4 linked regions of the Pelodiscus sinensis genome follow. The protein of the gene in region 4 interacts with the protein of the main gene of each other region in a pairwise test. Links are inferred from orthologs where the notes say so. Each region holds a gene or a part of one and is shown on either strand. Other genes may lie near its edges.

The links.
Region 1: the proteins of GET3 (region 4) and GET4 interact in binary tests that used the Homo sapiens proteins (3 or more experiments, as listed by UniProt). The link is inferred for Pelodiscus sinensis from reciprocal best matches to the Homo sapiens genes GET3 and GET4.
Region 2: the proteins of GET3 (region 4) and ASPH interact in binary tests that used the Homo sapiens proteins (3 or more experiments, as listed by UniProt). The two-hybrid records come from large-scale screens. The link is inferred for Pelodiscus sinensis from reciprocal best matches to the Homo sapiens genes GET3 and ASPH.
Region 3: the proteins of GET3 (region 4) and GPX7 interact in binary tests that used the Homo sapiens proteins (3 or more experiments, as listed by UniProt). The two-hybrid records come from large-scale screens. The link is inferred for Pelodiscus sinensis from reciprocal best matches to the Homo sapiens genes GET3 and GPX7.

Annotation. Positions count from the first base shown.
Region 1 is NC_134726.1:26,320,394-26,328,403, reverse strand, and holds the start of GET4 (Golgi to ER traffic protein 4 homolog), read right to left. Parts: upstream 3,002-8,010; 5' UTR 2,883-3,001; coding exon 2,728-2,882; intron 2,043-2,727; exon of another isoform or gene 2,028-2,042; coding exon of another isoform or gene 2,005-2,027; intron 1-2,004. UniProt on the Homo sapiens protein: As part of a cytosolic protein quality control complex, the BAG6/BAT3 complex, maintains misfolded and hydrophobic patches-containing proteins in a soluble state and participates in their proper delivery to the endoplasmic reticulum or alternatively can promote their sorting to the proteasome where they undergo degradation.
Region 2 is NC_134712.1:61,042,750-61,050,304, reverse strand, and holds the start of ASPH (aspartyl/asparaginyl beta-hydroxylase), read right to left. Parts: upstream 3,009-7,555; 5' UTR 2,886-3,008; coding exon 2,819-2,885; intron 1-2,818.
Region 3 is NC_134719.1:9,550,806-9,557,732, reverse strand, and holds the start of GPX7 (glutathione peroxidase 7), read right to left. Parts: upstream 3,019-6,927; 5' UTR 2,983-3,018; coding exon 2,782-2,982; intron 1-2,781. UniProt on the Homo sapiens protein: It protects esophageal epithelia from hydrogen peroxide-induced oxidative stress. It suppresses acidic bile acid-induced reactive oxygen species (ROS) and protects against oxidative DNA damage and double-strand breaks.
Region 4 is NC_134729.1:13,304,684-13,312,509, forward strand, and holds the start of GET3 (ATPase GET3), read right to left. Parts: upstream 3,015-7,826; 5' UTR 2,865-3,014; coding exon 2,701-2,864; intron 1,869-2,700; coding exon 1,721-1,868; intron 1,167-1,720; coding exon 1,018-1,166; intron 1-1,017. Other genes in the region: telomerase RNA component interacting RNase, read left to right, coding at 3,481-3,726.

The sequences.
Region 1 (8,010 bases), on a different chromosome or scaffold from region 4:
AGTTGACTATCTGATAAGCTTTTGCTTATTGGATAGTGACTAGTCACTTACGTCTCAGTAGGGATGTATCTAGACTCCTTCACAAACTAATATTAAATGCAAAAAAGAGTTTAAAAATAAAGTTTTACACAGTAGATGACAATTCAATATTATAACTGCCATGTACTTAAAGTAGTAATATAGTACAAGTACTGCACCATAAAGCAGACCTGTTATGTTACTCATTAGTAGGCAATTGGAACGTAAAACCCTGTTTAATAGGTTAACTGTTTAATGAGAATGGGCAGGAGGGGCTGCTCCAGCCTGACCAAAGGATCAGGAGCTGCTCCAGCACCCACCAGTTAACTGGAACTAATAAGCACCACCCATTAGGGTCATGCTCACAATTAACTTTTTGCATCCCAATAGACACAAAATGTGGAGGTGTCCACTTTAACCAAAAAATTCCTAAGTTCACTAAACATGGTGAGATATCAATATATTTTAAAGAGTCCTCAAATCAAGTTCTGCTTGATAATCCATCAATGTCACAAGAATCCAGACACCCACAAACTAGAATTACATCTGATTAGAGATTAAAAGCAGATCTGTATAGAGAGACTCTCTCACTACAGATGCATTTTAAGGCACATTTTAAATTCTTACTCTTCAAATGGAAGATTTGAGTGTACTTTAATGAAACATTTGATCAAAGTTTTTTTTTGTTTCTTAAATTCAAGTTGTAATTTTATGACAGCCCTAAAAAGCAGATTTGACTAAATCTGCACACTGTACATATCAATAATATGATTGAAAAGGAGAACATTTTGGAGCAAAGGACACAAAAAAAGTTTACAGCTACTAAGAATATCTGTAACTACCAGATGCTAACTTCTTTATCTAGCATGAGGTTTATTGAAGAACTACTAATTCAATCACAATAATAATAAACACTCTGTCCTACTATTCTTCTATCTGGGGATGTCAAAGTCCTTTACAAATGTCAATTAAGTCCTTCAGCAGCTTGTTTTAATATAGTTAACCTTGAAATAACTTTTTTCCTGTCTTTCTCTTCTGCATCTGAGGAAATGAGTTATAGCTTACAAAAGCATATGCTCCAATATCCTAATAAATTGGTTAGTCTTTAAGGTGTCACCAGATTTTGTTGTTTTTACTGAAACAAACTAATTCAACTACCTCTCTGAAATCTGACAAGAAACTACTCCTCATGGACTCACATTCTTTAATCCTTCTGAAAATATAACCTCATCCTTTTAACTTTAAGTATCCCTGAAAGGAATGGAAGAAACTGACAAGGTGGAAGAGGGATAATGTAACATCCATTTATGATTTTCTTAATAGAAAAGTGGCGAGGAGTCCTGTGGCACCTTATAGACTAACTGAAGTGTAGGAGCATAAGCTTTCGTGGGCAAAGACTCACTTCATCAGGTGCATCTGACGAAGTGGGTCTTTGCCCAGGAAAGCTTATGCTCCTACACTTCAGTTAGTCTATAAGGTGCCACAGGACTCCTCGCCGCTTTTGCAGATTCAGACTAACACGGCTACCCCTCTGCTGCTTAATAGAAAAGGTGCAACATCACCTCTCTTTCTATTGGTTAAAGAAAGAGTGGAGACCCCCTTCCGATAGGACTGGCCTTAGGATGCCAAGTTGCTGGAGCAAATTGGCATACGAAGGTGCAGTGGGGAACAGGGTAGAAAAAATAAGCAAGGAATCTTCTCCAATCCTGCTTGCTCCAAGGCAAGCCTATATGCAACGCTAAACAGCCAGAAAAGAATGAGAAAATGAGGCATCTGCTTTTGGGCCCAATTTCTGTTGAGACTGCATGGGGCTCTCTAGAAGTGCAAGATGACAGTCTAACACAGCAGTAGAATACAAACATGGGAGAAATTGAGGGCCCCATGGGAGTAGGGGGCCCTTCCACAAGGCATCCAGCCCCCATGATGCCACATCTGACTGGTGGTGAAGAGCTAGGCAAGAAGGGATGTACGGAGTTAACTGATCACCTGCTAAGCAGCCTTCCTAGCATGTTTACCAGGGTAACCCCTTAACCGGCTGCTCCAGCTCGGCCGGGGCCACCATGCTGCAGGCGGGGGTCCACTGCAGCCTGGCCGGGGTGGGTGGGGGGGGGGGGGGGGAACAGCCCCTGGCCTGTTAACCTTTAAACCGTGATCTTACGTCCGCTGCCTCCCCTCCCAGGCCACTCGCTCTGGGGTGGAGCGCGACCCCGATCGTCAGCTCCCAGCCCCCAGCCTCCGCGGGTGGCCGCGGCCCCGTGTGGGTGACAAAACGGGGGGCCAGTCTCCAGACCTGCTGGCCAGGGAGTCCCAAGGCAACAGACGCCGGCCTCCCCCTATTAACATCTGTCTTTGGGGAGGCCCCCCCCTCACTAACCCCCCCCCCCGCCAAGAGCCCCCGGCCCCGCCCCCTTCGCTCTGCCTCTGCAGCTCCCCTCGGCGCTCTCGAAGGGGGGGGGAAGGCCGGACACCTGGGGGGGGGGCGCGTAGAGAGAATTCTACCCCCTTCCCCTGCAAGCCGCCTCCCCCCCTACGCACTTCACGCTGCCCTGCACGGCGAGCGCCTCCCCGTTCTCGTCCAATCAGCGGGCGAACGCATGAGACGGACAAGCCGCGCGGCCAATCGCACGGGCCGGGCGCGCAGGCAGCAGGCTAGTGTGCGCGCTCGGAAGGCTCTGGAAGGGGCCAGAGGGAAGGGTGGCCGGGCTGTACCTGAAGAAGAGAGTCCGGTACATCTGGTGCGCCTCGTAGTATTCGCCCTTCTCCACGCTGGCGCGGAGCTTCCCTTCCACCCGCTGCACCCCACCCCGGTTCCGCCCGCCGCCGCCCTTGGCGGCCTCCTGCTCCGCCATCATCGCCGCCGCCATGGATGCGGGGAGGGCGGGCGGAGAGACACGGGCCAGGCCCCGCCGCTGCCTGCTACACACAGGCCCTTCTGCCCGGGCCGGCTTCCGTCAGCCCCGCCCACCGAGCGAGACGGCAGCCTGGGCGGGCCAGTGCCCGCAGCGCAGCTTCGCGGTGGCGTCACGCAGCGCTGGGCGGGGCCAAGAGATGATGGGGGGGGGGGGGGGTAGATGGCTCTGGTGGGACTTGTTCAGCTGCGTTTGCTCCCCTCTGACTGGAACGTGGCCTCTTCCTATTCACTGTAGCACGAGGCGGGGCGTGCAGCCTGGCTGCGCTGGAGGGGCTGAGCAGAGGTGAATTGTGAGCTCACCTGCAGCCACCTCCCATCTTAACAAAGCCAAGCGGTGCCCCCTGTGAGCGCAGGACCAGGGCACAGAGTGACCCTACTTTCCAAACCAAAAATCAGGACACGTGATCTGACACAGGATTTTTTTTTCTGATTTGTGAGCAGGCTGGGGGCACAGGGTGTGGGGTGGAGAGTGAGCAGGCTGGGGGCCCAGGGTGTGGGGTGGAGAGTGAGCAGGCTGGGGGCACAGGATGTGGGGTGGAGAGTGAGCAGGCTGGGGGCACAGGATGTGGGGTGGAGAGTGAGCAGGCTGGGGGCCCAGGGTGTGGGAGGAGAGTGAGCAGGCTGGGGGCCCAGGGTGTGGGGTGGAGAGTGAGCAGGCTGGGGGCCCAGGGTGTGGGAGGAGAGTGAGCAGGCTGGGGGCCCAGGGTGTGGGGTGGAGAGTGAGCAGGCTGGGGGCCCAGGGTGTGGGAGGAGAGTGAGCAGGCTGGGGGCACAGGGTGTGGGGTGGAGAGTGAGCAGGCTGGGGGCCCAGGGTGTGGGAGGAGAGTGAGCAGGCTGGGGGCCCAGGGTGTGGGAGGAGAGTGAGCAGGCTGGGGGCCCAGGGTGTGGGAGGAGAGTGAGCAGGCTGGGGGCCCAGGGTGTGGGGTGGAGAGTGAGCAGGCTGGGGGCCCAGGGTGTGGGGTGGAGAGTGAGCAGGCTGGGGGCCCAGGGTGTGGGAGGAGAGTGAGCAGGCTGGGGGCCCAGGGTGTGGGGTGGAGAGTGAGCAGGCTGGGGGCCCAGGGTGTGGGGTGGAGAGTGAGCAGGCTGGGGGCCCAGGGTGTGGGGTGGAGAGTGAGCAGGCTGGGGGCCCAGGGTGTGGGAGGAGAGTGAGCAGGCTGGGGGCACAGGGTGTGGGTGGAGAGTGAGCAGGCTGGGGGCACAGGGTGTGGGGTGGAGAGTGAGCAGGCTGGGGGCCCAGGGTGTGGGAGGAGAGTGAGCAGGCTGGGGGCACAGGGTGTGGGTGGAGAGTGAGCAGGCTGGGGGCACAGGGTGTGGGGTGGAGAGTGAGCAGGCTGGGGGCCCAGGGTGTGGGAGGAGAGTGAGCAGGCTGGGGGCCCAGGGTGTGGGTGGAGAGTGAGCAGGCTGGGGGCCCAGGGTGTGGGAGGAGAGTGAGCAGGCTGGGGGCACAGGGTGTGGGAGGAGAGTGAGCAGGCTGGGGGCACAGGGTGTGGGAGGAGAGTGAGCAGGCTGGGGGCACAGGGTGTGGGGTGGAGAGTGAGCAGGCTGGGGGCACAGGGTGTGGGAGGAGAGTGAGCAGGCTGGGGGCACAGGGTGTGGGTGGAGAGTGAGCAGGCTGGGGGCCCAGGGTGTGGGTGGAGAGTGAGCAGGCTGGGGGCACAGGGTGTGGGAGGAGAGTGAGCAGGCTGGGGGCACAGGGTGTGGGGTGGAGAGTGAGCAGGCTGGGGGCACAGGGTGTGGGAGGAGAGTGAGCAGGCTGGGGGCACAGGGTGTGGGGTGGAGAGTGAGCAGGCTGGGGGCACAGGGTGTGGGGTGGAGAGTGAGCAGGCTGGGGGCACAGGGTGTGGGTGGAGAGTGAGCAGGCTGGGGGCACAGGGTGTGGGTGGAGAGTGAGCAGGCTGGGGGCCCAGGGTGTGGGTGGAGAGTGAGCAGGCTGGGGGCCCAGGGTGTGGGAGGAGAGTGAGCAGGCTGGGGGCCCAGGGTGTGGGAGGAGAGTGAGCAGGCTGGGGGCCCAGGGTGTGGGAGGAGAGTGAGCAGGCTGGGGGCCCAGGGTGTGGGAGGAGAGTGAGCAGGCTGGGGGCCCAGGGTGTGGGTGGAGAGTGAGCAGGCTGGGGGCACAGGGTGTGGGTGGAGAGTGAGCAGGCTGGGGGCCCAGGGTGTGGGTGGAGAGTGAGCAGCCTGGGGGCCCAGGGTCTGCACAGGCTAGGGGAGTGGGGTCTCCAGGAAAGCGACCAGCAAGCGGGCTGGGGTTGCGGGGTCTGGGCACGAGGGGCTACTAACACCATGCCCCATCTCCCGCTGCTGTTATGGGCCAGATTCCGGAGCAGTGGGATGCGTTCCTGTTCCCCTGGGAAGGGGAGGGAAAGTGGCAGCACATGGAGCCGCTACTAGCTGTGCTTCTTCCCCACAAGCCGGATCCAGTGGGGAGTCTCGAGGCTCTCTCCCCAGCCCTTCCAAAATATTTGCCAAAATATTTGAAATTCTGGGACATTTCGATGGTTTATGGGGAGAATGGGACAGAATGTTTGAAATCAAGAAATACGGTCGGCATAATAATAGAGAATCAGTGTGCATATGGTTTTGTCAATACAATTGTATAGTCATGACACACTGATGTTAAAAAATACGATGACAAAATTACATACTATGAGTCACCTTTTTGAAACAACTACATCAAAGCCAGCTAATGATGGCAACATGGTCCATATAAATGGCAAAATTCACATGTTCTAGGATATTGGTGACCAACATGACATAACTGAATTCTTAGGCCACAGCAAAAATGTGTCTATCTAAAACTTCCATCCCCAGTTGCTCAGCTTTCACTCTTTAGTGAGGTAAATTTTACTAGCCTGCAGTCACGTGAGACTTCCAGGGTAGAGGATATCTGAATTTCTAGTTCTCTCTCCAGTTCCTTGTTCGTATTCTTCCATTTTTTAAATTAATAAAACATTTACTTTGTACATCATTGGGAGCAAAACCCAATTTCTTTTTGCAAGTTAATGTTAAATATTTCTGAAAAAAACAATGCTTGGCACTTACATAAGATTTCCAAAGAAACAATCTAGTGTCAAGAGCAGATTCTGGAGTCTAATGAACAAGCATAAATGGAGGAAAAACTAGCAGAATAATGCAATGCACTAGGAACATCCCATCTAGGTTTCTGACTACAGCTTTGGAAAATTCACCAAACTCCTCTGCCGCCACATCCCAGCCTTTATACTGAGCCCACTTTTTGTACAATGTTGTGCAAATACGTAAATTCCCACACGATCAATAAAGCTCAACTGTGTATCTGTCAACTGAGTCTTGTTCCAGACAGGGAAAACAAGAGGGATGACATAGCAAATACTTTCCTGATACCATATTATACATGGCGTGATGCACATGACCTGTGTTGTAAACTTTACAACTTTTGATCTGAATAGCCTAACATAGACTTGAGAATGATTTCTCTGAAAGGTTTCAACAAATTTTATTCCACTAGAGGGCAGATGTTTACACATACAAATTTTGTGCAAGAAACAAAATGAAACCTTGAGGAATTTTGTTCAAATGCAGCCTAGTGGAGTTGCAACCAAATACCATTTTCTTAATTTTGCTAATTATATTAAGTGACAGAAAGGGCAAGTTTAAATGTATAATTTTGTCTGACAATCTGCAGCTTTTTTACTCAACATCACTGTGTGTTTAGCTGTGTCTTGTTTAGAGTGTTGCAATAGCATGGTACTTAAGTAAACAAAACTAATGGCTGGTTGAATTTTTTGGGGTAAAGGTACATAACCTTGCCTGCTTGTTGACACAGACAGCTTGAGGTTTTAGGTGAGCACTAAGTGAAACATTTGACACTTCACAAATAAAAACAAACTTCTGTGCACAAATGTTATTTGCAATAGTGTGTTGCTACAGACTCATGAGTTTACTTTGATCCCCTTCAGTCCGCAACAGAAGGTAATCTGGATATTTCCCCTGTAGTTGCAAAATACTTAAGTGCATTTGTCAGTAGAACTTGCAGTGATGTCAGACAATACAGAGATGCTTCTTTACTCTCAAGGGGTATGTCTACACTACCCAGGGGCTGTGTCTACACTGGCATCCTTTTCCGGAAAAGGGATGCTAATGAGACACTTCGGAATTGCAAATCCGCGGGGGATTTAAATATCCCCCGCGGCATTTGCATTTACATGGCTGCCGCTTTTTTCCGGCTCGGGGTTTTTGCTGGAGAAAAGCGCCAGTCTAGACGCGATTTTCCAGAAAATAAGCCCTTTTGGAAAAGCATCCTGCCAATGTAGATGCGCTTTTTCCGGAAATACTTATAACGGAAAACTGTTCTCTTTTAAGCATTTCCGGAAAAGGGTGCCAGTGTAGACGTTGCCTCAAGGTTCATTACACCAGGAGTCTTCACTCAGACATAGGAACAAAACCCATTTAACTTTGTAATTAGGGCATGTCTGCACTGGGAAATTATTTTGAAATAACTCTTGAAATAAGTATTTCAAAATAGCATGTCCCCCCCTACAGGGGAGCATCAAAATTACTAAGTATTATTTTGAAATAGTGCATCCACACTGATTGGAGCCTGCCTCAGACTTAAAGCCCCCAGGGGGGAGCACTCTGGGGAAGGCACCAGGAGGGTGGGCTGCATGGTTAGGAAAGGTACAGTGAGTGCTTTCAGGGGCTCCACTCTATGGCCACATCTCACACTCCATTTCTCCACTGACCACTTAAGGGACCTTACGCTATGTGCTCTAGTTCCCCTTGTGGATGCCACAGCACTTTCATGGAGCTAGAGCTGCTGCAAAGCAGAGCCGGGCTCTGGGGCCTCATGTTGTGCCTTGTGGCACAGTTCATGCAAATTGCCCACGTGGTGCTGCAGGGACATGACGACCAGCCTGGACTGGGAGACTTGTTGACCCAAGCCCTGGCGCTCCTCATGCAGCAAATTCCCCTCCATCCTCCCCTGCACACTGTAGACCGCCACTTCTGGCAGAGGGAGACCAGCCCCAACTGGTGGGACCGCACTGTCATGAGGTGTTGGGATGACCATCAGTGGCTCCAGAACTTCCGCATGAGGAAGGCCACCT
Region 2 (7,555 bases), on a different chromosome or scaffold from region 4:
TCCTGACTTCATTGACTCCAGCGTCCCTGGCCATGCATAGGTGTGAAGACAAGTCTTTCCTCATTAGTTTCTGAGAAAAAAGGATACCTGGAATCTTTCTTAGGTGATGCACACAAATCAGAGGACTCCGTCTTCGACACCCTCATGTTGCAAATGTAAAACTTATTTCCCCACTTCATCACATCTCTCTTTTCTGGGAGCTGGAGTGAAGAGCTCTTAGCCTATGCCTACAATATTACAGAAAGTAGATCTAAAGTACACAACTCCAACTACATGAATAACATTGCTGGAGACTTTAATTCAAGTTACCATGGAGTCTATGGAAGAAACTTCCCCATTGACTTACCGTAAGCCAACCTTCTGGGTCTACTATGAACCTAGCCTTATGCAGACACCCCTTCCTTACTTCTGTTTACACCAGTGTTTCCCAAATGGTGTTTCTGGGTTCCACGAAGTGAAAATAAGGGTTCCGCGAGAAAATTCCATTACAATAACGTTTTATGATTTTAAAAAATAATATGTGATTTTTGTTTTTAAATATGTGCAATTAAATTAAAGGTTGATCTCATGACCTTGTTAAGTAAGTATAATAATAAACAAATGCTAATTTGTGGTCTATTTTTTAGCAGCCTATATTAGACTGTTATTAGGGGTTCTACAAAATTCTTTAAATTTTAAAAGAGTTCCTTGGCCAAATAAAATATGGAAACACTAGTTTCCACCATTCACAACTGAAGGGGATCCTATGTAAGCATACGGGCCAAGTCTTTTTTAAAATAAAAGGACAGATTTTACAGAGGTCAACTGCACACATGATTAAGGATATGAATGTGTAAACGGTTACATGTAGCCTCCTCCCCCCACACTGTATCAGATGCAGAGGCAGCAGCGTGTGGGGAAGATGTGGCTCCGTGGGAGCCAGTATGCACAGGGAGCTGTCTTTCGCACACCAGCTCCTAGGGAGCTGCCCAACTCCCCTCCCTCCCCCCATGTGTAAATGTGTATCTGCTGAAATTTTCAGCAGGTAAACATTTACCTAAATAAATGCATTTTAACATCCCTAATAAATATTTGGGAAAAGTTCTTACTCATCATAGGTAAATATGATCAAGAGTTTCAGGCTTTTTTAACTTGAAATGTTAAAACAAATTTGGAAGGTGTATTGGAGTTCTCTATAGTAGCCCAGATTCTATACAGGATGCATTTTTAATGTCTTGTTTTTCAAAAGACGCATTTTACAGAATTTAAAACTGAAATAAGCTCTTTCCTGTTGCTGTATGATTATTATAATAAACACCCATAATTCCCAGATCAATTGTTCAAGAGAAATTTAAGGGGCATACCAGCTGTTAACCTAATTAAACACTGTATAACTGTAAAACTTGTCTCACCAACAAAAGTTGGCCCAATAAAAGATATTACCTCAACCACATTGTTTCTTTAGAGTCATTTGAAACCACTGTACTCAATTATCAAAATGATCAATAAGTACAATGCCATATGTATAAACCTCTGATAGAGCACTGTAAGTTCTACTAGTACTATGCACATGGCTGAGATCACGTGATCAACCTTGTATCTATGCTAGTAGTGATAAATAAAACTGAAAAATTAGAAGTCCACAGAGCTAACAATGTATAGGCACAAAGCGTGCTCACCGTAAAGCTAACGAGATCAGCTCTTTACAACCTGTACAGTTATATAACTACCAGAAAGGCATTAATATACTTTCACCTGACATGTATTTTCCTCCCAGAAGTTTACTTTGTTTTATGTGAGTTTACTGTAAAAAATTATTAATTCTATTGTTAGTTTTGTTAACCCAGTTTCAAGTTGCTCATGTCTTACTTTCTGAAAATAAATCTTCCTTTATATCTGCACTTTCTAATTTACAGCTAATTAAAAAGCCTTCAGATTACTAGAGATAAAAACTTGACAGTTACGGTAACAAAAGAATATTTTGACATCAGTATTTTATACATGGTGGTATCAAGTCACTAAAAGCAGTCTTATTTTAAAAATATGCCAAAGTGCACTTTTTCACTCACTGCAACGCTCACTGTAAAGTTCTTTGCAAAAAGCAGCCTGCTTTTTATTCAGGAATTTAAGACACTCCTAGACTTGATTGTCTAAGACTTCTAAGTTTAAAATTACTGGGCTAAGCACACCTAGTAATACATGCAGCTCTACTCATGATTAATCCTCTGCAATGAGGAATTCCTCTGTTTGCTCAGCTACACGCTAAGCTTCTCCTCCACTTCAAACTCGAGCAAAAAGGGGAATAAATGAAATCTGAGTAACAGATTTAAACCATCTGTTCCGACCTCCCTTCCCTCCAAGCGCTGAGCTGACACGTAAACACATGGAGGAGGCTGAAGGTGACCAGGCAGTCAGAGGGAGGCAGATACACGCGCACAAACCCCGCCGGCGCTTTCCCGCACCCACCCGCCGCTTTCACCTCCTGCCCCCCGGGACTCCCGCACGAGCCCAGCGTGCAGCGAGGCCCGGCCACCGGAGCCAGACACTCAAGAGAGCGGCAACTTCGAAAACGCAGCGAGCGGCGCCCACAGTCCCGCGGGGCCCCAACATCCCCGCCCCGCCCACTCCCCGCGGGGCACCAGGGGCCGAGGCTGCTGCAGGCTCGACGGGCCCCCGCCGCCGGGCACTCGGGGAGCGGCATCCCCTTGCCCGGCGCACCCCGCCTGCGCTCCCAGGAGCCGCCCCGTCCCGCGGCTCTGCCCCCACAGCCTGCTGCTCAAGCCCAGCCCCGGCGCGGGACACGGGGCGGGGCTGCCGCGGCCGGGCGGGCGGCACTGACCTCTCCTGGGCCCCTGACTGGGGCTGCTGCCGCCACCGGTGCCTTTGGAGCTCTTGCGCGGAGCCATGTCACCGTCTGTCAGGTAGCGGAGGGGACTGCGCGCGCTCGCGAGGGGAGGAGCCGCTACCCGCCCAACCGACCCTACGTGAGCGGCGGGGCTGAGGCCAAAGGACCCACCCCCTTCGGAAGCCGATTGAGAGCCACCTCCACCAATCGCAGCGCTCTCGCCGGAAGGGGGCGGGGCATCGTGTGCGTTCTATTGGTACGGACAAAAGGATTGGGTGGGATGCGTTGCGCTTCTTTCTCCGTGCCGAAACCGGGCGCTTGGAACGTGGCAACATGGGAGCGCTCTCGCGAGGATTCAGCTTCCAACCCAGCAGGAGCGGCGCGCGCTGCCCCTGAGCGAGGGGCGCCCGTGGGCGGGGCGGCTTGGCCGAGTGTGGGGTAGCCAGGCTTCAGCTGCGTTGCTGAGTGAGCCGCCGTGCCTCAGTTTCCCTACCTCTAGTAACCAGTCCCAGGGGTGCTCAGTTAGCTGGGGTAAGGACGCTTGTGTTGGTGACACAGGAGCTATTGCAATTGGCTAATGCTGCTGTGCACCCACGGGAGGTGTACGCGGCAGGGCACGACCCAGGCAAGACACCTTACCTCAACCTAACTTTGGTAAAGGACCTGCAGGGCTACATCTACACTGGCAGCTTCTTGTGCAAAAACTCTTCCAGAAAAGAGCATCTACACTGGCATGTGCGTTTGTGTAAGAGCATCCATGCCAGTGTAGATGCTCTCTTGCACAAGAAAGCTCTGATGGCCATTTTAACCACAGAAATTCATGTTGCCTGTCTACACTGGCCTCTTCTGGAAGAGCTCTTGCGCAAGAGAGCTTATTCCTTAGCGGGAGCATGATAGTTCTTGCGCAAGAAGGCCTGATTTTATACATGAGAACGTCGATTTACTTGCGCAAGAACACATGGCCAGTGTAGATAGGCAGCAAGTTTTTGCGCAAGAGTAGCCGCTTTGGCACAAGATCGTGCCAGTGTAGACGCAGCCTTACATTTTGCTTTTGCCCATGTAACTGCCCCCCAAGCCTGACTGAATAGCCTCAACTCCACAGGCGGCATGGAGTCAAGGGCAATGTGCATAGGCTGAGGCAGAATCATTGTATGTGTTGCAGGCCAGTACGGCGGGAGGGGGGATTGAAAGATTGCAAAAGCAGCCCCCATGGTCCACCAAGTAAGCATGCTCCAGCCAGTTAGAGGAAGGCAGGAGCAAGGTAGGAGCAGCGTGCTGCTAGATCCTCCCTCCCCATGCTCTGGCAGGTCTGGAGAAGGCTGGGGCTGATTTCTCTGCTTACTTGGGGGAGTGTGGTGGTGCATTCACACCTTTGTGTTCCACGTTTACAAAAAAAAGCACTCCCACCCCCACAGAAATTCCTGCGTAGGGGCCTTGTTTGTAGTTCTAGGCTATAACCTGGGTGGGGCAAGCAGGGGGCTCAGCCACTGGCAATGTAAATAGGAATATGGGGAAGGAAAATGGTGGGAAACTAGCATAGGGACTGGCTCCACCTGTAATTTGGGGGTAATCAACCATTCCTTTCCAGCCCTGCCCCCACTTCATCCCTTCCTCTAAAATAGCACCTCTTCTCCAACTATGTCCTGCCCCCATTGCACCCTTCCTAAGCATCTGTCCCACTGCAGCAGCCGCTGTGTTCTGGCAGGTAGGAAGGAGGTGGAAGAGTTGGTCAGCAGAGCCACTGGGTGGGTTACTATAGATGAAAGGAAGAGACAGAAGGCAGGAGCAAGGCTGCCAGCAGGTACTGAGCACTGGCCAATTTTTCCCCAGGGGTGCTCCAGCCCCATAGAACCCATGGAGTCTATGGTAGGAGGTGCAAATATGCTTGCTGGCTCCAGTTGCAAAGATGCATAGGTAGGGTTTTGCTTACATTGACTTACTGGCTTTCATGAACTTCCTTACAAATAATACAAGTGTGCCTGGGGAGACATGCACCCCAAGAAAAGTGTAGTTATGCACAAGCAATATAATTACTGTGACAGTTATCCAACATTATGTGCATAGAAAATAATGTGTAATTTCTAATTTAAAAGAAGAAAAGGTTGGATATCTATCCAGTTGCACAATGTTAGTATATAATAAATTATACAGAAATTTTCTTCAGTAAATCTCAAAGCATCAATATCCTCATTTTACAAATAGGGAAACTGACAGAGGTCTGATTTGCCTAAGGTCACGATAGGCCAGTAACCGAGCTTGGAATAGAACTCCTGAATTTCAGTTCAGTGCTAGCCCTTACATCACATTTTTCTGATTACATTGGTGCCAATTCTGTCAGCTGGGCTAACAGGAAGAAAAATGGCTGCTCAGCATCCACCGGGATAATCAGCTATGACAGCCACAAATCCACTCATGTGCCTGCTGGGCTCCCTCAGTCTTTCCCCTGAGCAGCAGGATTAGTTGTGTCCAGCCAATCAGCTATAGTGTGTAGTCAGTGAACAGCTGCTGTGCAGGGAGCCAGCACATGAGATCTTTTGCAGCCTGTCTCCCACTACTGTATTGGCAAAAGTGGTCTCTTTCCAGGGCTGAAGGAGCAGGAGCCCTTCAGCTACTCCTCCATTTTTCAGCTGTGGTAGGAAACTCAGGAACTGCTGCTCCCTGCTGTCACTGAAGAAACCTGAAACCCTTAGCTGTGAGCTGATCAAAAAGTTGCTTTGGCTGATGGGGCTTTTCTGGAGGAGCCGGATCAGTAGCTTCTCCTTCCCCTAGGCTCTGAGCTGTGAGAAATGTGAATTCCCCTGGCAGGGCTGCTGTTGCTCTGTGCCTGGGACCAGGATGGGAGAGCTCTCTTCATTGTTCTGTCCATTCTCTCCCCTTCTCAGGCAGAGGGAGTCTTTTAATGAGGTTCTCAAATTTCCCCTCAGGCTAGGAGACTGAGTGCCTATGCACCTTAGGGTAGTAGTCTACACTACCAAGTTTTGTTGCCACAAAACTTATGTAAACACCCAGAAGTCAACAAAATAAAAATCGACAGATTCACACTTGCTCCCTCTGTCCACAGATCATGTCCACATTGGAGGCACCATCATTGGCATTGTGAACAATGCATAGTGAGTATATACCCCACAATCAGGGGATGGGGATGGAAATGTGTGTCTGAGAGGGTCAGGGCATGGCACTAGACATGTTTGCGTGAGGGGCTCAGGGCAGGTGGCTGGAGGCGTATGGGGTAGAAGTCAGAGTAGGTGGCTGGAATGAGTGTGTGCAGGATGGGAGGCTCAGGGCTGAGGCACCCCCAACCAGCCACTTTCTTACTAGTGCACCGGCTTACTTTCACCTTTGTTCACAATGCAGAGCTGTGTTAGCTGGAAATATGGGAGTACCTGCACTATGGGAGCCTCTCTCTCTCTCTCTGGAATCCTTTGAATCAGGTAAGATTTCTCGGTGAGTGCAAAGATGAGAAATTAGACCAATTCTGGCAAGAAACACTCTCTGACAGTGGCTGTGTAAATGCCACCAGGTAGATTCAAACCTAAGATATCCGCATAGGAGTCTCTACAGCTTGAGATATAAAGCCAGCTGGCTTGCAGCTTAGTTTGTAGAGCTCACTTGTTTTTATCTCTTGCTGTAAGTGGTCTAAGTGCCATTACATGGAACGTTAAACCACACCCACTAGGTGTGTGGTTTACAGCTGCACGAGAGGTCTCTATCTCCAGTGGTGCCAACACCAGCAGCGCCAATGTGGGCTGGAGCATGCTCCTTATGTTGGGCTCTCCGATCTTCATGGAGATGACGCCTGATCTCAGCGTGTCAGGCACCATTCTTGATGGTGGTCCTCCAAGTTACCGGATCCTCCACCTGCTTCTCTCAGGTGTCAGCATCAATGTCATAATTTACCAAGGTGTTCCTAAAGATGTCTCTATAGAGATTCTTCTGCCTGCCATGAGACCTCATCCTGATCCTCAGCTGAGTGTAGAAAATCTTTTTAGGCAAATGTGTGTCAAGCATTTTGACCACATGACCAGACCATCATAGCTGCCTGTGGGTGATTATTGACTTGATGCTGCAAGAATCAGCCTCTGTGAGGACAGTAACATTGGTTCATCTGTCCTGCCAATATTCTCAGGTACCGTTGGTTGAATTTCTCCTGATCTTTAATATGACATCTATATGATGTTTTCATATAACAAAGTTGGGATGATTATGGCTTTGTAGATGACGATCTTGGTCTGCGTCTTGATGTCACAGTCATCAAAGACTCGCCTCCATAAATGTCCATAAGTCACCCTGGCACTGGCGATTCAGTGGCGGATTTCATCATCAATGTCAGCATTGCTAGACACATAGCTTCTGAGATAGGGGAAGCTGCTGACATTCTCCAGCACTTGGTCGTCCGCCATGATGGTTGGTTCTGGTAAGGGTCTGAGGGGTGTTGGCTGAAAGAGAACCTTGGTCTTTGAGAGTCAATCCCACCCTGTGGTAGGTTCGGATGAAAATGTCAGTGATTGCTTGGAGACCATCTCCCGAGGTGGCACTCACCCTTGGTGTTGTCAACATACTGAAGTTGTACCATTGACGTTGTGGTCTTGGTCTTGGCTCTGACATAGCCCAAATTGAAGAGGCTATCATCCACTCTCTAGGTTATTTCAACTCTGCCTTGGAGCTCATCTTCAATAACCTGGAGCATGGCCACCAGAAAGATATTAAATAGCATAGATGCTATCACACACC
Region 3 (6,927 bases), on a different chromosome or scaffold from region 4:
TACTCTGCAGACAAGATACACTCCATTCAGAGCATTTACAGACTCTTGACAGACCCAGTGGAAGAAATTATGGGAACAAGCTTAAAAAAAAGCCAACTACCGTGTAATAACAATCTGATGGTATTCCATATATAAAATGTACATCTGGGATAGAAAATGTATTTACATCTTATCATATACATATATATTAAACTACATAGAAACATCAGTGTATTATATTTGTATAGCATCTAGCAAGTTGAGTGTGCTCCTGGAAACAAACAACTGTGTGTGCAGTGGATAAAATTCTCCTTTGGTGGCCAATGTGAGGCCTATGTAGCAGTTAAGCATAGTTTGAATCGGTGGGGTTGGTTGAGGGCTTTGGTCAGACTGGATCTGGGCCCTATTCAATCTTAATCCACCAAAGAGCTTCTCTTTTGAGCTTGGATATTTTAATTCTTTTCCCAACTTCAGCTCTTTTTCCTATTAGCAAAAGTACAAGGATCACACACAAATGGTACAATGACACTGAATGGAATATGCAAAAATGTTCTTAAGTGAACACAATCTTTGCTTAAAACAATCTACAGCTGATCCTGATGTGCGAGGCTTTATCTCTGCAACAACAGTCTATTAAAAATCAAAACTGGAAATAACTGCAAGGATAATTAACCATTGGTTCAGTTTAATAAATAATGCACCATGCTCTTTGATAGTTAGGAGTCTTTAAATCAAGAGTTTCTATCATTAAAAAGATATGCTTTCATTCAACCAATTCTTACACTAAAGCAATAATCACTAGGTTGAATTGACAATTTGTATTATGCATGAGAGACTAGATTATCATAAAAACAAGGAGTCCAGTGGCACTTTTAAAGACTGTTTCAGAGAAGTAGCTGTGTTAGTCTGTTTCAGAATAAAAGGAGTCTGGTGACATTTCAAAGACTAACAAATGTATTAGGGTATTAGAGCATAAGCTTTTGTGAGCTACTACTCATTTCCTCACACGCTGAGAAAAAGAAAGAAAAATAGGGGGGAAAAAAAGATACAAACAACAGAGATAGGACGGTGATTCCACTCCATCGGGCGGCTCTTGCGTTACAATAGGTAATTTCTCATTCAGGTACTCTCAGCTTCTCACTACTGTTGGAGATGAGCCACATCCATTCTAATTTAATTAGCACCTATGTCAGTCATCTCTATTATATCCTTTTTTGTCTTTTTCTCTTCAGCATCTGAGGAAGTGAGTTGTAGCTCACAAAAGCTTATACTCTTATACCCTTACCAATTTTTTAGACTTTAAAGTGCCACCGGACTCCTTATTTAAAAAAAAATCTAATAAATTTATTAGGTTATTAGAGTATAAGCTTTCGTGAGCTACAACTCATTTCCGCAGATGCTGAAGAGAAAAAAAATAGATGAAGAAAAAAAGAGAGAAATATATAGGATATAGACACGGGAGCGTGACAACAGTTTTTCCATACAGATAATCGTAAGAGGCCCTTCCATTCATAAAAAATGTATTTAAAAAGTACTATGAAAATAGGACTGTACATTTCCACTAGATGGCTCACTACTGGATTATTTTTAAAAGTTTTACTTAACTCTGAATTTCCTGATCTTTTAATTTGTTTATTTTTTAAAATAATTACAGTGTTCTTTAATTTTTTTTCACCCTTAAGTTACTAATACTTACTCTCAACCTTTACTCCAGTTTAACATGTTTTGTCTGGAAATGTCCTTGTTTTCTTATTTTATTAATATTTTCATACATGAACACTAAACAAGAAACCCAAAGAAAACACTATTGTGACATATTTAATGTGTTAAACACGTGGAACATCAATCTTGGGTCTTCCCTGACAATTTTAACTTTTAGGGCCAAATTTGCAGGTACAGTCCAGCTGCCTTGTGCTGGACTGGAGAATACTGATAAGCCAAGTTTAGAATGTTTTTTTCTCTACCATTGTAGCATGAAGAACCAGTCCTGATTTGCTTTGCAGTTTCTAAATGCAAATGCTGACTATGTTGGATGCAAAGTTATGATATAATTTTTGAATACTCATAATTATGAAATTTCGTTATCACTATATCCTTATCACACTTCAAGAACTTGATTAAATGAGTACATCTTTTGGGAAGAATGTTTCATTTAAGACTCCCTGAGTAATATGTAAGTAAAATTTAAATTCATTTAAAAACAGATCTGCTGCTATTAATGTCTATGCTTTAAAGAAGATTATGATATTAATCTACAATGACTTATTTTCTCAGATTTGTTTATTGGTAATCATGGTGCATTCCTTGACATATTGATTACATACCATTCCCTTTTCTCCATTTTACCTCAAACAGGATTCAGCAAAAAATAAGTCTTTCAAAAGAGTAAATATCTTGCAATACAGACCTTTGCTTTAGAATACCACATGCTTCCTATCCTGGACAAATGCTTTCATGGTTAATAGACATTAGAATCCAATATATACGAACGAACGGCAAGCAGCCCCCCTGTGCCACGTATACACAGAGCAGCCTGCCCAAGAAACAGATTCACACACACACACAAGGGTTAGACTGCAAACGTTTTATTAAAAGAATGGAGAAACCCATAACGATATCAAAGTAAACATGCAAGCACTATTCCGCAGGACTTAAACAAAATGCACAAATGAGAGTCTATCCATGCATGCATGCAAGTTAATGAATAAGCTGCTTGCCCACTCCCGTATGTAAGCATTCAAATATGGGCTGGTTAGTTACACTCAGCAATGAGAGCAGCTGCTAATCTTTCGGCAAACTTACCGAGCCTCTGTATTTCTCCAGAGAGACTAGCTTGCCCCTGATGTTTACCACTTTAAATGTATAAAAATCAGTCTCTTTCTGCTGGGAGGTGGCGAATGCTAAGAAAAGCAGCGTTGCTAAGGCAAGGAACATGGCTAGAGGGATGAGAAAAACTTTGGAGGAGGAAGCCTTGTGCTCCACACTGCCCTCAGGATCTAGCATGCTGCAAGACAGCCTGGTGCTGCACACACCCCTTTCACAAATCACACAGCACTGCCGGAAAGAAAGAGCTGTTGCAAAAGAGGTTGCAACACTCGCGCTTTCAAATGGGTTAGCGCCGCTGTGTCACACGATGCCCGTGCTCAGTAGCCAATTTCCAGGAATGTTAAGGGATAAAAACACTTCATGAACAAGCGGGTGGTGTAATAATAATGGCCAGTGGTAGGTGCATACGTCTGTGCTGGTTCTTTCAACTCAAGCTGGGCGACATATTTCCCAAAGGGAAAACAGGACCCCACAAGGGGCTAGCCTAAGCCCTACCCGCCCGCCCCCAATGTTCTGCTCCCACATCCGCTTGCCCAAGACTGCCCCCTGCACAGGGCAAGCCAGAGATGCTCACTTGAGCTCCCTTTCTCCTCATGGAGCTAGAGGCTGAGCCTGTTTGCCCCCCACTCCCTAGAGTTGGAATTGGTGTCAGTATCACTGCTTGCCTGAATCGTTCCTCCCCCCCCCCCCCCCCCGCGTAAGGCTGGTGTCACCACTGCCCCTCTCCATGTTCCTCTGCACCCCACTTTTTTGACAGACTTGGGCATCTGTCCCACTTGTTCTTGACAATTGATCAAGTTGGCAAGAGCAAAGGGACAAATGCTTTCTTTGGCCAGAAAAGTCAGAACAGCCAGGGCATGGCTAAACAAAGGGACTGTCTCTGATCAAATTAAGCAACGAGGAGTCCTGTGGCACCTTATAGACTAACTGAAGTGTAGGAGCATAAGCTTATGCTCCTACACTTCAGTTAGTCTATAAGGTGCCACAGGACTCCTCGTCGCTTTTGCAGATTCAGACTAACACGGCTACCCCTCTGATACTCTGATCAAATTGGGACATAGTCACACTAAGCATTAGTAGCAGTATGACTCCTCTTCACTGTTTGGTGGAGATGCACATCAATAGTCCTACTTTTCACTGGTTTCAAGGAAGTTAAGCCATCACATTATTTTGATTTTTTTTTGCCCAGTATGGGCCTTACAAATGTGCATTTTAATGCTACTGTGTATCAAGTAACATATTATGCCAAAGGATACCAATAGCTTGCCTAATATTTATCACTTATGCTAGTGGCTTGCCCATTAAGGAACACTAATAAATATGCAGTCAGGATAAAATTCCCCATAGAGTTAATGATACTATGCAGGACCAACACCCTGAAATAAAGATATAATGTAGGTTAAAACATCCTTCATCAGGCATCTTTGAGTTCTGTGTTTCAGAGAATAGGGTTGCCAGGTGATTGGTTTCTGGCATGTTCACCAGGCCAGTAAAAGTCCTTTTACACTGGGTGCCTGGGGCTAAGGAAGGCTTCCTACCTGCCCTGGCTCCAGGTAGCCCCTAGACTCAGCAAGGCTCTACATGCTGCTTCTGCCCCAAGTGCTGGCTCTGCAGCTCCCAATGGCTGGGAACTGTGACCAATGGGAGCTGCGGGTGAGAGGGCAGCACAGAGACTCTGCGTGTAAGGTAGGGGTGGGAAACCTAAGGCCCAGGGGCTGGATGCAGCCCTGGCTTGACTGGATCCAGCCCCTAAGGCTTGGGGCTCCCTGGCAGCCCCCTCCCACACATTGAACCCCTCATTTTTAGCCTCACCCAAATGCCTTGGGGGGTCATAAAATCTACTGGCCTGGGCGAGGCGAATGTGGGGAGTGTCTTTCTCGTTCTCAGTCGGGGGCTACGTTAGTGAGGGTTTTTTTTGTGCCTCTGCCAAATGATTTTTTTGTGGCTCAGGGCCCCCCCAATCCAAAAAAAGATTCCCACCCCTGGCCTATTGGCTGCAGGACTTAGCAGCCACTTATTGGGAGTCGTGAGTAAGCACTGCCAGGACCCCGATACCCCTCCTGTACGCCAACCCCCCTGCCCCAGCCCAGAGTTCTCTCCTAGAACCAAACTCCCTTCCAGAGCCCACACCAGCACCTGGAGCCCCCTCCTGCACTCCAAACCTCTCATTCTCAGCCCCACCCCTGAGACCACACCCCTAGCTGGAGTCCTCATTCCCACTGCACCCCAATCTTCTGCTCCAGCCTGGAGCTCTCTCCCCTGAACCCTATCTAGTGCCCACATCCCCAACTGGGGCCCTCACCTACCTGCACCCCCTCTCCCAGCCCAGAACCGCTTGCTGTATCCCAAACCCCTCATCTCTGGTCATAGGCAGAGTCCTCCCTCCCTCCCACAGCCCATTCTCTCCCCAACCTGGTGAAAATGAGTGAGGGTCGGGGGGAGAGCAAGCAATGGAGGGAGGGGGAGATTAAATGAGTGGAGGACAGGGTGTTTGGTTCTGTGCAAGTAGAAAGTTGGCAGACCTAGCAGACCAGCTGCACCAAGGAGGGATTAATGGTCAAGCCACTTGTTCAGTCTCTAGGGCCTTGAGACTAGCAGGGTTTTCCAGATAAAAATGGGAGGAGCCTGGGGCTGGAAATACTACGGGTTAAGCAGTGACTTTGGCAGGAGAGCCTTGAAAGGGACAGAGCTAGACACCTACTTTATAGCCTCCTTACACGAGATTTCTGTTAAAAGAAGTTGTCTGTGCACCATTTGTTCCCATCCTTGTTTGAAGGAACTGGACCAAAGTTCCCTCTAATCTATCTATATGCAGAATATTTTTTTTACACGCACCAAGACATGTGTGAATGTCCACCATCAGTAGAAACAAAAACACATAGCTGTGGCCACTCTGCTAATCAACTGGAAAGCATTTGAATCTCTCCTGAGCAGTAACAAAAGTGCACAGTTTACAGGGACCACTGAACTGGACTTAGGAACATTTTGTAAATTAATTTCACCAAGTACACTGCCAATGTTGTGTAAAGCAGCCTTAATGTAAATGAAAATATATTCCCTAGAATCTATATATTACTGCAAAGATGTTTGTTAATACCTTTCCTGATTTCTTTTTTTTTTCTTCTTTTAAAGTTTTAGGGCTAATGTTAAAAAAAAGTGAGGTGGTTCACAAGAGGAAAGCTCTGTTTTGACAGCTGTCAAGAGGCCCACCAAAGTAGGGTTCCCCTACTGGAAATAGGATTGCCAATTTACTAATCGCACAAAATGAACACTCTTGCCCCAACGCCCTACCCTTTCTGAAGCCCCCCTCCACTCACACCATTCTATCAGCCTGTCACTCACTGCCCCCACCCTCACTCATTTTCATCAGGCTGGGACGGGGGGGGGGGGGGGGGTGTGAGGGCTCCAGTTGCGAGGGCAGGCTCTGGGGTGGGGCCTCAAGGCTAGAGCAGGGCATTGGGATGCAGGCTCTGGAGTGGGCCAAGGATGAGGGGACTCTGCGTGTGTGTGTGTGTGGGGAAGGGGGGGGGGGCGCGAAGCTGCAGCCAAGGCATTCAGTGTGTGGGAGGCAGCTCCAGGCTGAGTCAGAGGTTGCTGTGTGAGAGGGGGAATGGGCTCTGGGTGAGGGGGCCAGAAATTAGGGGTTCAGGGTATGAAAAGAGGCTCTGGGCTGGGGATAGGGGTTAAGGTGTGGGGCAGGAAGCGGGCTCTGCAAGGGAGTTTGGGTGCAGGAGAAGCCTCAGGAGGGAGTGAGGGCTCTGGGGAGGGAGTGCGGGGTAGAGCCTCCAGAAAAGAGTTTGGATGTGAGAGGGGGCTCAGAGCTGGGGCAGAGTAGTAAGAAGGGGTGAGAAGTTCCTACCTCGGTGGGCTCCCTGGAAGCTACAACTTGTCCCTTGATTCCTAGGCAGAGGCGTGATGAGGCAGCTCTGTGTGCTGCCTCTGCCAACAAGTTCCACCACTGGAGCTTCAATTGACTGTAACTGGTGTCCAATGGAAGTTGCAGAGTCAGCGCTTTGGGTGGGAGCATTGTGTGGATCCCCTCAGCTGCCTCTGTACCTCAGAGCCAGAGGAACATGTTGCTGCTTCTGGGGAGTTGTGTGGAGTCAGGTAGGGAGCCTGCCA
Region 4 (7,826 bases):
GGCAAACAGAAGAGACAGACAAGGGAAATGCTCTTAGTCCCCTGGATAGCTGGACCACCATGGCCCTACCAAACACAGTCACTAGCCAAGTCCCAGCCGACACCTCAGGCAGAGCTGGGAACTAAATATATAAAGTCTGAGTTTATGCCCCGGCTGTTAGGTCATCCCTCTGACCCTGCCAACAGCTACACGGGCAGTGGACAGCTGAACCCAGATCTCACAGGCCCGAGTGCAATGCCAGGGGGAGGAGGAGGGACATACCCACCCTGCAGATCTAAAGTGCTTATTAGTATAACGGCATATCCCAGCCCCGGGCTGATGGTCTCCTTCCCCAAGTGACAGGTGTGCAGCTACACGCGTAACGCCATGGTGCCCAAACTGTGGCCTGGGACCCCAAAGCACGTCACCACCCTGTTTTAAGGGGGTCACCAGGGCTGGCTTAGACTTGCTGGGGCCTGATGCCCAAGCCCCAATGCCCGAGGCCTGAAGCACGTGGGCCATGGCTTTGTGCCCCCTATCCAGGGCAGTGGGTTCAGGCTTTGCCCCCCCACCCCTCGGGGTCGTTTAGTAATTTGTGTTGTCAGCAGGGGGTTGTGGTGCAAAGAAGTTTGGGAACCACTGGCTTAATGCACTACAGGAAGGTCCTCGAACCAGAGACAAGTGCAATATGCGAGCCTGTATAGCAAACAGCCTTTTCACCTACAGATGGTTTCATTCCCACCTGCCATGTTGCCATGGTACATTCTAACGATCCTCTGCTATAGGTGGTTTCATCCCTTCCCTTGATAGCACATCCCTCCCCCCCATAACGGCCATAAAGCCCAGCTCCTGGTCCCCTACAAGTGGTCTGCTCTTCTCCTCCCGCTGCCACACTACTGGTAAATCCAAACCTCTCCTCCCCCTATGATAGGGGGCCTGTCCTGGTCACCCTTTCATCAGGGCTACCCCCACGTCAGCTACGCTTCCCAATGGCCGCAGGCATGTAGCATGGGCCTGGAAGCAGGCTGCCTAGCTCACCTCATCACTTCCGCATAGCTCATGGCCTCATCAATGCCGGGAAAAGCGCTCATGGCCTCCTGCATCATCTTCTTGCCCATGCTCAGCATGTTGTCCTCCTCAAAGAACTCATCCGGGAGCTCCGCCACTCCCAGGCTGGGGTCGATCTCCTGGGCAAGGAAGAAGGGGGCAAGGATTTAGGGAAGAATGGCCATCATTATCCCAAGGATGGGCGACTCATTCACTCAGCACCAGCTCTCGTCTTGAACACTGAGAAGAGATGGACACATTTCTGAATGCCTAATGTGTTAGAACAGGGACTGGGAACCAGGGCTTCTGGATTCTATTCTCTGCTCTAAAAGAGGAGTGGTATCTAGTGGTTAGAGCAGGGAGGACTAGGAGCCAGGACTCCTGGGTTTTATTCCCTGCTTTGGGAGTGGGATCTAGTGGTTAGATTGGAGGGGGGATGGGATGAGGAGTCAGGATGCCAAAGGTCTAACTCTTAGCTCTGGAAGAGAAGTGGGGACTAAGGGCTGAACCAAAGGAGAATGAGCCAGGACTTTTCCTCTTTCTTTCCAGTTCCAAGAAGAAGCTCAATCTAGAAGTTAACACAGGCAACTGGGAAGCAGGGCTCCAAATGCTTAGGGACTCGGTGCCAGCCCTGCATACAGCCAAACAAGCAGAGCCATTTGAAACCCATCTTCTCTCCCCAGCCCAAGCTCACCATGGCAAACAGGTTGTCATAGCCCTTGACTTTAGTTGGGACCTTGGAGAATTTCTGGTCGAAGGCGTCGGAGATGTTGTGGGCTGGATCGGTGGAGATGATGAGGACGCTCTCACGCACCTTTGACAGCTGCACGGCCAGGCTGCAGCTGCATGGGGGGCAATTCAGGTGACACGAGAAGGGAACTAGCGGCGGGAAATCCACGGGGTTTGGGATCGCTGGAGAGGTGAGGCATAGGACAGGAGGCGCTTTCACCTCTCCCCTAGAGGCAGCATCACACTCCCTGTGCCCCTCAAGCTGCAATGGTAGATCCCAGCTCCCCTACCAGTCATAGGCTCATCTATAGTCCTTCCAGCATAATGGTACAGACCAAACACCCCACCCGCTCTTTGGTACATTTGGTATGTCCCAGTCTTCACAATTTGTCCCCCCCGCCCCCAATCTGGTACAATCTCATACAGGTGGCCTCGCCCCACCAATGCTTATAGCAGGTCCAATTTGGTACAGCCCAGCCCCTCTTCCTCTCACCCCTTGCTCCCTAGACTAGCAGCAAGTCCCGCACCCCTCTCCTCCAAATGGTGCATCCCAACCCTTCTCTCCTCCAAGTGGTATCATCCACCTTATATACTAACATGGTACATTCTCGTGGCCCTTCGCCTACAGGCAACCCCAACCTCTACGATGGTACATCCAACACCCCTAGTGGTGTAGGAATGGTGCGCCCCAACCCTCACCCCTCTCTCAAAAAAGCAATGGTACAGCCCAGCCACTCCCCCATCCCCGCACATAGTGGTACAACCTCAAGCCCTCCGGGGGCCTCGCCACGCCCCCAACGGCTCCTCTCCCCTACGCATAACGGTACATCCCAAGTTCCACCCTCTCCAGGTGAGCTCGGCACCCCCTCTCCACAGGAATGGTACATCCCAACCACCCCTTCTTCCCCCTTCGTGGCACTGCCACGCACGCTCACCCCCCCTCACCTGCAGGTGGTCTTGCCCACGCCTCCCTTCCCCCCCACGAAGATCCACTTGAGGCTCCGCTGCTCGATGATGTTGCTCAGCGTTGGCTCTAGCGGTTCCACATCGGGGGCGTCCTCGAACTCGTCCGCCTCCGGCCCCCAACCGGACCCCGCCGCCGCCGCCATCTTGGAACCGGCTCACGTGACCCGGCCCGGGACCAGACCATTCGCAGAGGGAGGACGCACAGAAGGAGCACGCGCCGACAGAAAACAGAGCTGGGCCGCTGTATCCTAGTCGTCACTGCCGCTGTCCTGTCCCCCAGTCCACAACAATGGTATAGCCCGACCACGCCCCCTCATATGACTGGGGTCTTCAACAACCCCGCCCACTCTGAGCTAGTCCTGATAAGTCCCGCCCCTGCGTCTGTTCTGATTGGTCCTTACGACATCCGCCTGACGTGATTGGGCTACATAGAAGGGCGCTCTTTGGTTGGTGGGACGCCGGGGCGTAGAGCGCCTCACGTCCACCCAAAGGGACCTGATTGGAGTCGAGGCTCAGGCTCTGGCCGCCGATTGGTCCGTCGGCCTGCCCGTCCCTCAGAGCGCGATCGGGGCCAGCGTGCCTCGCGCGGGGAAACGCTCTTCCTCTCCCAGCGTGCCTTGCGCCGGCGGCTGCCCGGAGTTCCTGCGGCTCAGCGCTCGCCCTCCCGACACCCCCTGGGGCTGCTCCCGTCGTGCCCCGCGGCCGGCGCTGGCTTTTCCCGACACCCCCCGGGGCGCGGCGGCGCTCTCCGCGGACAAGATGGCGGCCCGAGGGGGACGGGCGGCGGCTCCGCAGGGCCCGGGCGGCGTCAACGTCTTCGCCAACGACGGCAGCTTCCTGGAGCTCTTCAAGCGCAAGATGGAGGCGGAGCAGCGGGGGCGGGAGCAGGAGGCGGGGGCCGCGGGGCCCGGGGAGGAGCCTGCGGCCGGGGCGGCCCCGGGCGCCCCCGGGACTGAGCAGCGGCCGCCGGAGGGGAAGAAGAGGAGCGGGACCGCGCTCAGCTTCGTAAGGACCCGGGGCCCCCTCCCCCGTCCCCGCGCCGCGCTCGGACCGAGCTCCTCCTCCCGCCCCGCCCCCTCGAAGGATCAGTGGGGGCCGCTCGTACTGCAGCTCCCCCAGGGGTCTCGGCGCCCCCGCCTCCCCCGGGAGTGGGACCTCAGCCCCCCCCATCTGCACGTGACTGTCCCGATCCCCTTTCTCTCCCGCCCGCTGTTCTATCTCCACCCCGCTCCTCATTCCCCTTTGCACCTCGCACCCAGACTCCTTTCTCCTCCTCCCTGCCCTCTCCTCATCACACCTGTGCACTTCAAACCCCTATCCCGGGGCACCTGCCCTAGCACTGGAGATTCCCCTCTTTTCTTTCTCTCGCCCATCTCTTCCCCTGGATATTTATCTGCTCCATATGCCGCCTATTCTGCTCACCTCCCCATCCTTATTTTCTGAGACTGCAGCCTTCCTTTCCTTCTCCCTTTGGGGGCCTGCCCTGTACTTTTTGTGGGGTGCTATTCCCTCACTCACTCTCTCAATTCCCTGTTGCTTTAGAACCATCTGCAACTGAAGAAACCTATATTTTCCATCCTTGTTCCCTTTCCATAACCTTCCCCTCACTGGGTGGCCTAAAATTCTACCCCCACCAGGAGGCAAGTCCCCTTTCTGAAGGCAGCTTCTCCCTCCTACGTGAAGAAGTCTTTCCTCCTTTTCCTCTCCCTGTCATTGGCATTTCTTCTTTCCTCCAGTGCCTGGTGGTAGGTTACCCCACCTGATTTGTCTCTAGAATGTCGTGAGAAGCTGCGGATGCTGTTCAGAGGTTCTCCTTTTCCACCCCCCACTTGTGCAGCTTCATGAATTCGTTTCAACCAATTGGCCAGGCTCATGAGCCAGGACCAACAGGGAAAATGTCAATTGCTGGAGTTCTCAAACAGTTTCTTGAATGGCTAATCCTGGTGTGTGCTCTGTGTGCCAGTTCAGGAATGAAGTCCTTGCTAGAGCTTGTACTTCATCAAGTCTGCCCCCTTATCCGATGGCTTTGTAACGATTAAGGATGGTTAAGAGCGCTGTTGTGCTAAGTAACTGATTCTGAGCACTCTTTAGAGATAAGTATTATCTATGATTTTGAGCTAAGGAAACAGAAGAGATGCTGCAAGCTGAATAAAATGCTCTTGGGCGAGTAGCAGAGTTGGATTAGGCATGACCCCCCCCTCAATACAGTGTTTCAGCCCATGCTCTGACCAATAGATCACCCCCTTTAGACATTCAGGGCAAAACCTCATTCTTGGATAGTTGCCCCTTGTAATAATTGGTCCTCACTGCCTTGAAAGCTAATTGAGCTTGAAGCAGTTAGAGCTTTGTGTACAGCAGTCACTGCTGTGGAATTTCATGTGGCAGGTTTGTCAGGGTGGGGCTGGGAACTAAGGATGCAAAATCCTGGTTTATCAGTTACTGGTTAAATGTTCAGTTAACTGACTAAAGTGGGATCTGGGCTAGTGACATCTCCAGCCTGGCTGGAGCAGCTCCCAAATCTGTGCTGGTGCTGCCAATTTCCAGCCCCCACGCGAGGGCTGGGGCTGCTGTCTGCTCGCAGCCTCCGCTGGAGCAGCCTCCATCAGTTATTGGTTAATCAGATCCAGCAAGCACCTCCTGTTTATAGGGTGATGCTTGCCAGTTAGCCTTTCACATCCCTACTGGGAGCCAGGAGCTCCTGAGTTCTAATCTCAGCTCTGCTGCCAAACCTGTGGCATTGGGCAAGTCCCTTACCCTTGCTTCACAGATTTTGAGAGAGAATGAAGTGGTAATGGGCCCCCAAATGCTATGACAGTGGTCCCCAACCATTTGACGTTGCCGGGAGCCAGGGGGCGTGGCCGTTCGCCTGCTGGGTACCAGAGGGCAGGGACACCTGTGCACCAGGGGGCGGGGCTACGCATATGCTGCACCCCCATGAGCCACGTGCCTGGGGCCTGTGCACCCCCATAGCCGTGCACCAGGGGACTGGTGCTCCCCATGCACCGCGCACCTGGAGCATGGACGGCCGCTTCGCCATGTGCCCAGGGACGGCGCCCCTCCCCCCCATAGCTGCACACCAGGGGGCCGCGCTTCCCATGGGCCGCACGCCTGGAGCACGGGCGGCCACTTCGCCGCGTTCCCAGGGCCAGTGCGCGCCCCCCCCCCCATAGCCACGCATCTGGGGCTGGTGTCCCCCTCCCTCCCATAGCTGCACGCCCGGAGCGTGGGTGGCCACTTCACCGCGCGCCCGGGGCTGGCGCCCCCACCTGCCTGTATCTGTGCACCCGGGGCCGGCGCTCACCATGCGCCCGAGGCTGGCTCTGGCACAGCGCATGCGCCACGTGTCTGGGGCCAAGCCAGCCCCGAGCACTTGTCGGGTGCACACAAATGCCCCCGCGGGCGCCATGGCGCCCGCGGGCACCGTGTTGGGGACCACTGTGCTATGAGCTATCGCTGACCTGTGTGGTAGTTACAGAATAAAGACTCTGGACGAGTCTCAGAAGAAACTCATTCCAGCAATGGCATTTTCACTTCCTGGCGCGTGGGTGGAATTATCTCAGAGAAGTCGCGCTGATTTTTTTTTAATCCCCTGGATCTTTTACAACTAAACACTTGACTCTGAAGAGTAGCCAATTAAGGGGGACTTATCTGCATCCCAGTTTGCACTGAATAGTGTGGGTCCATAACCGTTATTAGTGATGTGCTCCTGTTGTGCTTGGGAACTTGTTAGCTGGAACTTCTGTAGATTGCAAAGATGCTAAAACAAATCCCCTGTCCCTCTGTTGCAATATCTAGGTCACTTATCAAACCATGATGAGGCTAAATACACCGTAGGCCTTGGCCCCACAAGAGTTTGAAGTATGCTACCTTCTATAGCAAAGGTCAGAAACTGTTGTCAGGAGTGGATATGAGAGATGAAATAATGCTAAAGAATAACCATTGTCTTCCTCAGTTGTCTCTGTTGCTGGGTGTGCAAGTGATGATAGGTGTGGATGAAAACTGCAGCGGTGTTTGCAGATGTTTTCAGTTGCAGAGCCTCAACTGCACTGAGCTGCGTTTGGAATTGGCCTCCAGAGTCATTAATGGTCCCCTTTTTCCCTGCCAGCGCTGTTCACCCACAGTGTCCTTTGCCCAGTAGAATATCTGCATCAAAATACCGTGACTAATCAGTAGTATTGCTGGCCATCTTGGTGCCTGCTTAATGCATAGCCTAGCCCTCATTTCACCACGATCTTAATTTTATCCTGGAATGAGACTGTTCATATGCAAAAAGTTATTCATGTGCCGGGGTAGCTTGCTGAATCGGGCTTTAACCGAGGCCAAACTGCCTGCTCTGTGGCGTGCGGGGCAGGCTTTGGTATGGTAGTTTTCTGTTCCTTGTGTGTTGAGTGCTAGTGAGAGCTGTTGAACTGCCCTTTAGGAAACAGCCATGGGATGAATTTTGTACATTTCCTGGTACTAAACGCTATTTTGGGATGTTACGGGCAGGCCTGTGGGTGTCAGAACACAGCACAGTAGGTCTCAGAAAACTAGACCTGGCTGATAGAGGCACAAATCTCATCTTCCTTATATGGAGCTACCTAGTGCAAGAGTGGTCTGCAGATTGACTAGCTGTATGGACAGAGAAGTAAAATCCCCTTTTCCCTCAGCTTGCTGTAGCTCAGGATTGACAGGGATTTTAGCGAATGAAAACCCAAGTGGGAAGGCTGTGGAGGAGAGTTTTTCTGCCCTTTATTTTTCTGAGTATTAGTCGGGTGTGAAGCCCCAAGTGCGCACACTATAGAGCCCTGCCTCCAGGCTGTCGCGTATGTTGGGCTGTCACTCAAGGCTTGCAGTGTTATTGCAGCCTGGCTGGAACAGGAGCTAGGATCTCCTTTTTGGGGTAGGAGGAAGCAGGGATTTCATAGGATGCTGCCTTGGTTGAATGTCCTGTGAACTGTTGGATTCCGACTTCTGCAAGCGAGAAGAAGAGCAGGGTTTCCCCAAGTCTGACTGGCTGGAATGACTTTCGGAGAGAATGATTCTTATGCAAACTGTTGGTCTTCCTCCTTAGCTAATCACTGAATGCGTGTAATCTCTGTGTACATCATCGCATAAAATACCAC